Nothobranchius furzeri: one gene and its partner. The protein of the gene in region 2 purifies or fractionates together with the protein of the main gene of each other region. This does not show direct contact. Links are inferred from orthologs where the notes say so. Each region holds a gene or a part of one and is shown on either strand. Other genes may lie near its edges. The genes, in order: psmb4 and pomp.

Region 1 (4,533 bases), on a different chromosome or scaffold from region 2:
TTCTACAGCCTCCCTGACCCAACGTTTGAACTGGTTGTTCTCCGTGTTGATAATTTTCCCTTGATCCCAGTCCATGATGTGATAATTTTGTTTGCAGTGATCTAAGATGGCTGACTTGAGGGTTTGCTCCTCTGCTTTTTTTGTTGTTGTTCTTGTGAGTCTTTGTTGTTTCCTTCTCGCATTCCTTCTGGTGCTCTTTTCTTATGGTGTCGTATGTTCTGCATCTACAAATGGTCACGGGTGCATTTTTTCCAGGTCTTTAAATTACCATACTTATACCTGCCTCATTTAGGATGCCATTTCCAATTTGATCACTGGACAACACTGATGAGTATACATTTGGTTATTGCTGGTGATTTTAGTGTGGTTTGGTGACGTTTTGCCTTTCAGAGACACCCAGTGGGTAGAAAAGATAGAAAGCATTTACAGAAAATGATCAGCTTTACATGAAACGGATTAAACCAGGAAACCTACACATTTTTAATCAACACATTTTATTTTCCATTAGAAAAATGTCCATAAACAGAAAAAACTAAACTGGGATAGATAAGTTGAAAGTGAGAAGCTGTTTTGATGTTGCAGGGAACTAGTTGCTGTTTGTTTTCAGTCAAACCCACTGCAGGAAAAAAAAATACACAAAACAAAAAAATTTATACATTTCAGCATCCTTCACATGATCCTGACAAAAACAAACGGCAACATTTTGTGTCAGAGATTTCATTTTTACAAAAAATAAATCTTGACCCCCTACCTGATCAGATGAGCGATGTCCCAGTTGGTTTCTGATGATAGAGGACCAATGATCTCCACGCCCTCCTCTGTTACTATGGCAATCTCATGCTAAAATTCAGACATCATATAATACATCAAACACTATAACACTTGTCTCTAAGAGTTCTCTCAATCTATTAAGTTACAATTTGCTGGGTTCCTTAGATAGGAAACTACTGAGGCTGAGTATTAGGAAAAGATAGCCAGCGCAAGATAAAATGAGCAATTTCAAGCACACAAGAGTGATCTTAGATCTGGAATTAGTCTGGGATGGAAAGTGAACTCACCCTGTTGTAGGAGCGAGCGTCTCTGTAGTACAGCACCTTGAGGCAGCGCTCCACCAGGTCCCGGGCCTCCTGTTTGGTAATCTCCGCCTTGTTCTCCACCACTTCCCTCATCAGTGGCTGTAAACACAAACGCACACAGTCTGTAGGCTGCACTCTTAAAGCAGAGTAAGACATGACAATTGTGATACTAAAACATATGAAAGTATATAAATCAGAGCAGATCTATTCTTAAACAACAGATGAAGCAAATATGAAGTCTTAGAGTAAAACGTAGAAGTTGAAGCTGTTATGGTACAATATGATTTGGGTTTTCACTCTGAACTCTTATGAATCTTCCTCTCTGTAACTTATTAGCTTACAAACGTGGCAAAAGCTTTTTGTTTCCATGTTCCAATTAAGCTGTAATTAATATCACTTAATTTACTTGTTGACTTTCTAAACAGGAACTCACCTGAGCCAGGTATGCTCCAAAGCCTGTGGCTACTGTGGGAGCCTCATAGGCTACACCAAGCTTGTCCACATAGCCCAAGAAACTACATAAGAAATATTCAAACAGTTAATTACATCTCCAAAAACAGCTAAGAGAATGAATCTGATGTATCCTAAATGTTGTGTCTAGATAATTTGGGACACCTCACCTCTCCCCATTGTAGAAACCTCCAATGACAACCGTGTTCCACAGTGGATTCATCTTGCTACGACGGTTGTACATCACCCTGGTCAGCCAGGAGTGGATGGCCTTTGGACTGTAGCTGTGGCCATCACCGAGCAGCTCTTCATCAATCCTAACAGAACAAAGCTTTAAGAAAGTGCATTTTACACAAGCTGCAGAATGTTTTTCTGATCAGCAGCAGCTTACACCATCTGTTCGATGACTTGTTTCAGGTACTGGTAGTCAGCGTAGTCACCTGATGCCCCCAGGATGGTGTTGTCGTTCACCTGCAGCAAAAATGCAGATTTAAGAGACTTTCACTCATCAGTGAGTCCTTTGTCAGTAGCGGTCATCACCTTCATTAAACGAGAAATGTTCCTGAATCGAGCCAGAGAGCCATATGAGCCCAGCATGTCAGCAGCGATGACTACGCCACCTTTGAACTTCACACCAAGCACCGATGTCCCGGTCACCATCGGGTTACTGTAGAAAAGAGAAATATATGTCAGAATAAAATCAATTTAAGGCTTTGCTGAAATTCCTCCCAGATTAGTTCACATACATTTTAGTTTAAATCTTTTCTCTGAAATTCAAAAAATAACTTAATAAATGTTACGTTTGTTATCGCGTTTCCAGATTATGTTCAAAGTTGACAAACTTTAACTGATTTCAAAGGATTCGCAACAAAAAGCATGATTAAATTTGAAAATACTCTTGATTAAACAAGTTAAAGGCCCAATTTTTAATACTATTATGCTTGTCAACTTCTTTCTTCAGTCAGCACAATTCAAACCACTACCTAAATTCGTTTTACTTACTAAAAGAACAGGATCTTTTTATGACTAGAAACAAAAACAAAGTTCTGGCTCGGCTAACTAAGCTAACACATTAAGAGTGAAGGAAAAACAAAACCCGAAACCGAAAAAAACGTTTTCTAGCAAATAAAAATATATACAATATTCTCTAGGTAAAGACAAAATATGAGTCTAATACTTTACAGAACAGTAAAACTGATGCAAATTGACGGTGAATTTAGCATCGGTTAGCAGCCATGATGATGCAGCACAGCAGCGGAGTTCAAACCGAAACCGATTCCGCCGTTTAGATTTGTTAACTTTCACACCGATTCAGTTTATAAAAATGCCGTTTACTCACAGCGTGTGTCTAACCGGACCACATGATGTACTGCTACCGGGAAAAGAGTAAAATTGTCCGGGCTTTGGTCCGTTTTCCCAAAAACTCAGCTTCGTTCCGTACGACTCCATGTTGAATGTGGAGGAAGTGACGACACAGAGACGTTTTTTTAAGAGAACTTTATTTATACAAACTAATTTGACAGATGAAACAAAGATTGTTATAACTTTTCAATAAATTATTACAACTGAAACTTTAAAGGATGGTTAAGTCAGCATTAGAAGGTGAATTTATTTCTTCCATTTTAAAATTTCTACCCGACTTTTGTATTTTTGTAAGTGTCATGTTTTCTAAAACAGTCAAATGTCTAATTGTGAAATAATTTAATATTTACACCAACATAAAATTTAGGAAAAATAACAGAGATTTTCTTTTTTTTACGTCAAGAAATAAACAAAATGCCCGTTTCCAATAATTGCATATTATTGACTTTTAAACAAAGAGAACATTGTAAAATGTGAATTTTGGGGTCATTAGTTTAAAATTATGTGATATGTTAAAAAAGGAAAGTTGCTGTAGCAACTTTGGAAACAAATTAGCGTAAAACTCTTTTTCATGCCTCTGAACAACATTCTAACATTACTGTTGCTGTTTACTGGTATGTACATTTGTGCAGATACCAGTAAACATACTGTAAACATACCAGTAAACATTTTTTGAATAGCTGTCCTCTTTGCTGACCATAGTCTACATATGAAGCTTGTTTTTATTAACACTTTAATGTCCACACTAAGAAAAAGTAATGATGAAAAAAATATGTATCCTTTTATCTTTTATTCACTTTGGGACTCCCCTAGTTGTAATTTATTAAAAAATAATAACCTAAATTATTATTATTATTATTATTATTATTATTATTATTATTATTAATTAATTAATTAATTAATTAATTAATTAATTAATTAATTAATTAATTAATTAATTAATTAATTTAATTAATTAATTAATGTGAGCCAATAATATTTAAACATTTCTGTGCATGTTTCAGTAAGATTTGGGGACAAAAGCATGCTCAGAGGGGGTGACCTGGCAGCCAGAGCATTACAATAAATTAGTTTCATATTTGGAATCTACCTTTTCTGAAACCGTAGGCTCTATCACCGATATACATTTCACAGGATTATTAAGTTCTTTAATGTGTGCCATACATTTTGTAATATTGCTGTAAGAAATTGAAAGTGTAAATTTATCCAATAATCCAGACCTTCAAAACAAGAGCATCTGTCAAACAGCAGCTCAGGTCAGCTGTACAATCCACCAACAGCATACACAAACACACACATGTGGGCTGCACTCAGCAGGTAGCAACACGCACGCTGCAGTTTCAACCCAGGCACGCCTGCTTGCACAGTCAGAGTTGCCACAGCAACCAGGCGGATCCCTTATTGCTGCAACACACCACACCTTCATTGTCCTTCTAGTTGAAGTACAGACATACACACAAAGAGGTGAAAGACCGGCGGTGGGGGGTGTGTATGTAGGCAGTCAGAGTCCACTTGTAAAATCATCAGTCCTCAGGTGTGGAGCAAGTTCCTTGGTTTGTTCAGAATCCGTCTCACCCACCTCACCTGTCTCTCCTCACCTGGCAGTGGACGGGCTGAGCTGTAAGTCTGTTCCCTTCTACTCCTC
Region 2 (3,989 bases):
AGTGTCACCCCCAAATCAACTTTTTTTTCTGATAAACTATATAAATGCGTGTCTAATCGTACTGCAGACACGTGTAGTCAATAATTTAAAACTTTAGGGCATTTTAGTTAAATTTTCAATTATCTGCCTCAAACTGTCACTGTTGTGCACCTGTCCTGTTGGAGGCGTGTGAGTCTTTATTTGTTGCTTGTTACTACTGTAAACAACACCCTCAATCTCGTTCTTGCACCTTAAATTACTCTATTATTCAGTTGATCGGTTATATTACACAACTCTAGTAAATCATTGCTTTGTTGTGGGGTGACACACTTGATCGCCAGTAACAAAGGTGGAAAACAAGCTAACTTTTCACCGTTTTCCTGCTTAGAGGCAAAACCACGGAGACCAAATATCTAACATAAAGTCTCGTTGGCTTGCTTGGATCGCAGCAACAAGGCGACCAAACATCACCTTCTGGAGTATTTTCATTCTGGAAAGTTACAAATAGTGTATGATTTTATACATCGTTTCTTTCTTTCAACCGCGACATGCACATGAAACACACACACAGAGGCTACACTCACATACCGGTGAGCTAATGCAGGTGCTCTCACACACAACACAACTTCTCTTTTTATACTTCTTCTGTTAGATTATAAATTTGATTGTTTTACTAGAAACACCAGCAAATAAAACGTTTACCTCTCATTCGGACGTCTACATCTGCTCACACCGCAAACAAGTAAGCCGAAAATGTCCGTTATGCAGAACTGCAGCGGCAACAATATGTCATTGGTGCTCCAGTCTTGGGTCTTTCATGTGGATCAAAACCATTTATAATGCTCATTTTGACCACATACCAGTCCCCAACGTCTTTTTTAACCTATCTCTGTGTATTCCGCATCCTTTTTTGGGGGGGGGGGGAGGAATGATGTTTTTAACACTTTCTTTCACCCAAATTAGCTTTTTCTCTGCACCAGTGCCGTTTGTTTCATGGTGTGTTTACACTTGTCAGCCTTCCAACATGGCACATCCCAGCATGCTATGCATAATCACGTGTGACCACAAGCCCTATACTAGGGGGTGACTTGCTCTTTAAGTATATTGTTGTGGGTTAAAAACAAAGCAGCAAAGTGTCTCAAAATTGCTAACCTTTTAAAGATTTATTACTTAAAAAGATTTACAAACACTACATGTGTGTTTCACACATTTGTCCTTTACCAGAATGTTTCATCTGTCTTGTAATTTCCATTTTGTATTTTGTAATTTGTATTTTGTAATTTGAATTTCTTTTATTGTTGATTTATCCAATATATTTACATACAACTGTACAATGTTCAGCGCTTTGGGCTTCCTGACAGGGTTGCAGAAGGCGCTTTATAAATAAAGCTTTGATTGATTGATTGATTGAAACACTAATTTCTTTCATTTATCTGTCCACAAACCATCATTTTTTAAAGAAGTGCAAAGATAAACATGTCACATTTTTTGCGCTTCCTACAATAGGGGATGCAAATTTCGGCAGCTAAGCTCTTTTCGGCACAACACCTTTGCACCTCACTCGTATGATGTCTGTGGCCTGTGCTCTACACCGGATGTCACGTGTTCTAAACACTACAGGAAACGGAAATTTAGGTGGGTCAAAAAGAAAGCGCAAGGAACAAAATCACAATGGTAAGCTAGCATTATTTAACACCAAATTTAAAACTATCCTTTACAGATTTCTAACTGCTGACTTCATCTATTTAACTATAAATAAGTGTACTTAACCCCTCCATGTTGTAGATTATATTCAATATGCGCTTTGAAACGCACCCATTTTGAATTTGATTAGTCACCGGAGCTAATGCTAGTTAGCCTTTTGGGTTATTAGTGCTGGTGTCTAGCTGATGTTAGCGTCGCTGTTTGTGTTAGCTCAGTATGAGCTGATTTAAACGTCATGATGCGATTTTGTGTGCTACAGAATAGCCGAGGACTCCACTCCCAGCTGAAGGACAGTGTCCCTGTCGCTGGACTTTGTCCACAGGGTGCTTACGGAATGCAGGACTCTCTACGCAGCGGGTAAGAAACTACCGCTTTCATATAAACCTAATATTCTACTAGTGTACAGTTATTTAATGACAATCAAGTCGGTGTTATTTTGATAATGAAATAAATCTTTCATTTTTTGTCTAACAGCTTCACGAGCGTAAAGAATGAGCTTCTTCCCAGCCACCCGCTGGAGCTGTCAGAGAAAAATGTAAGTAGTGTTTTACAGCTGTTTTCTGATATGAAGGGACATCACCGTGGTTTTTCATTGTCCAAAGGTCAATCAGGATGAGACTGAACACAGCTAAAATATCAGCATGTGTGTGTCATCTGTGTAATGTTACAATAGACTGATTCCTCAGTGAATAATCGTTTGTTAATTTTTTAACTTTATCTATTATGGAGTTTCTACAGGCTGCTAACTAATCTTTGTGTTTTATACTTTGTAGTTCCAGCTTAACCAGGATAAGATGAATTACTCCACACTCAGGAACATCCAAGGTCTTCATGCTCCACTCAAACTGCAGATGGAGTACCGAGCAGCACGACAGGTAGCTTCGCCTCCTATCACCTCTCCCACATATGCATGCTTCAGTTTTTAAGGCTTTGGTTTTTTTATCCTTCCAGATCCAGCGTCTGCCTTTCTTACCGAGTTCCAACTTGGCTCTCGACACGCTCCGAGGAAGCGATGAATCCATCGGCTTTGAGGACATCCTCAGCGGTGAGAGCCTCATCCTCTTTGTAGACTTTGTTTTCTGACCTCCTTACGGTCAGGTTTAAATAAATATTTAGTTATATACTCTTTTATCACACTACTGCATTCTAATAGTCTTTATGATATCGTCAGCTGAAGTCTGAGTCTCAGATCTGTGTGTGAACATGTGTGCAGACACATTAGCATGAAGCCTAACTAATCATGATGGCTGTGTGTTTGCAGATCCAGCCCAAAGTGAAGTGATGGGAGAGCCACACATGATGGTGGAGTACAAACTAGGATTGTTGTGAGAGCTCCTGTAAATAAAAACCTACACAAAATATTTACTTTGTCTTCTTCAGCATATATTTGATATTTCATTCCAAAACCAAAGTTAGAACCTCAGCTTTTGGAAAATTGTTATTAGAAATCTGTTTTTCTAGCAGGGCCTGGTGTGAGTCAGTGTGTCGGTGTAAAACACACAGAAGCAGGAGTGGTACACCACTTAAGGTTGTTTTTGTGTGATGGATTTTGATTATTTCTAATAAATTTCATGACCTTCCTTGTGGTGTGACTTCATTTCTGTAGTTCTTCATCTGCTTAGCTTGACCTTACACTCCGTTGTCTGAATCTAATACAGCCAGTCAAATAGTAAAAAAAAACCCGCTGGAATTTAAAAAAAAATATATTTTTCTGTGTAAACATGGTTTGTAACACATTTAGATCAACATGACCATAACTTCTTGTATTTAGAGAAATGTATTAATGTTTCAGAGCACAACATGAAGCAGGGTCATCAGTAGGTTGGTTGTGTGGCCACTAGAAGGCACTTAAAGACCGTTCATGGTTCAGAAACAACTCAGAAGTAGAGCCGCTGTGGGTTCTGCAGCACTGTTCTGTGCTCGGGTTAAAAATCAAATTACAACTAAGAAAGATTCTGCTGAACCTTATGTATCCTGCAGTGCAACATTCAAAGTGGCCACGAGGTTATCAGCCTGGAGTGGGTGTCTGAAAAACAATTTGGTCTGCAGGTAAATATTTACATAATAGGATGACTTGCAAGTCTTGTTTTCTGTATGATTCCAGTATTTTGATGGTCAAAATCATGTGATTATGCCTGTTTCCTGTTCATATAGGTGAAGGAGGGAGCTGCCCTCTTGAGGGTCCTATGCCGAACTTTCTGACAGATGCCGCACACGTGACGTGCTACATTTGCTGACATCACTACATGTCTTTTATGCAACGTGTAAACAGTTACTACCTCTTTTGTTGGTTTTGGGAGGAGAAG

What was found.
Region 1: the proteins of pomp (region 2) and psmb4 purify together in Homo sapiens (affinity purification with mass spectrometry; 3 studies listed by BioGRID and IntAct, counting the BioPlex papers as one, with this or other methods). This does not show direct contact. The link is inferred for Nothobranchius furzeri from reciprocal best matches to the Homo sapiens genes POMP and PSMB4.

The regions. Positions count from the first base shown.
Region 1 is NC_091759.1:9,808,253-9,812,785, reverse strand, and holds psmb4 (proteasome subunit beta type-4), read right to left. Parts: upstream 3,024-4,533; 5' UTR 2,976-3,023; coding exon 2,866-2,975; intron 2,194-2,865; coding exon 2,067-2,193; intron 1,998-2,066; coding exon 1,918-1,997; intron 1,844-1,917; coding exon 1,697-1,843; intron 1,592-1,696; coding exon 1,510-1,591; intron 1,176-1,509; coding exon 1,059-1,175; intron 841-1,058; coding exon 752-840; intron 617-751; coding exon 604-616; 3' UTR 476-603; downstream 1-475. UniProt on the Homo sapiens protein: Non-catalytic component of the 20S core proteasome complex involved in the proteolytic degradation of most intracellular proteins. This complex plays numerous essential roles within the cell by associating with different regulatory particles.
Region 2 is NC_091747.1:41,727,660-41,731,648, reverse strand, and holds pomp (proteasome maturation protein), read left to right. Parts: upstream 1-1,537; 5' UTR 1,538-1,650; coding exon 1,651-1,653; intron 1,654-1,942; coding exon 1,943-2,040; intron 2,041-2,157; coding exon 2,158-2,218; intron 2,219-2,456; coding exon 2,457-2,558; intron 2,559-2,634; coding exon 2,635-2,728; intron 2,729-2,944; coding exon 2,945-3,012; 3' UTR 3,013-3,263; downstream 3,264-3,989. UniProt on the Homo sapiens protein: Molecular chaperone essential for the assembly of standard proteasomes and immunoproteasomes. Degraded after completion of proteasome maturation. Mediates the association of 20S preproteasome with the endoplasmic reticulum.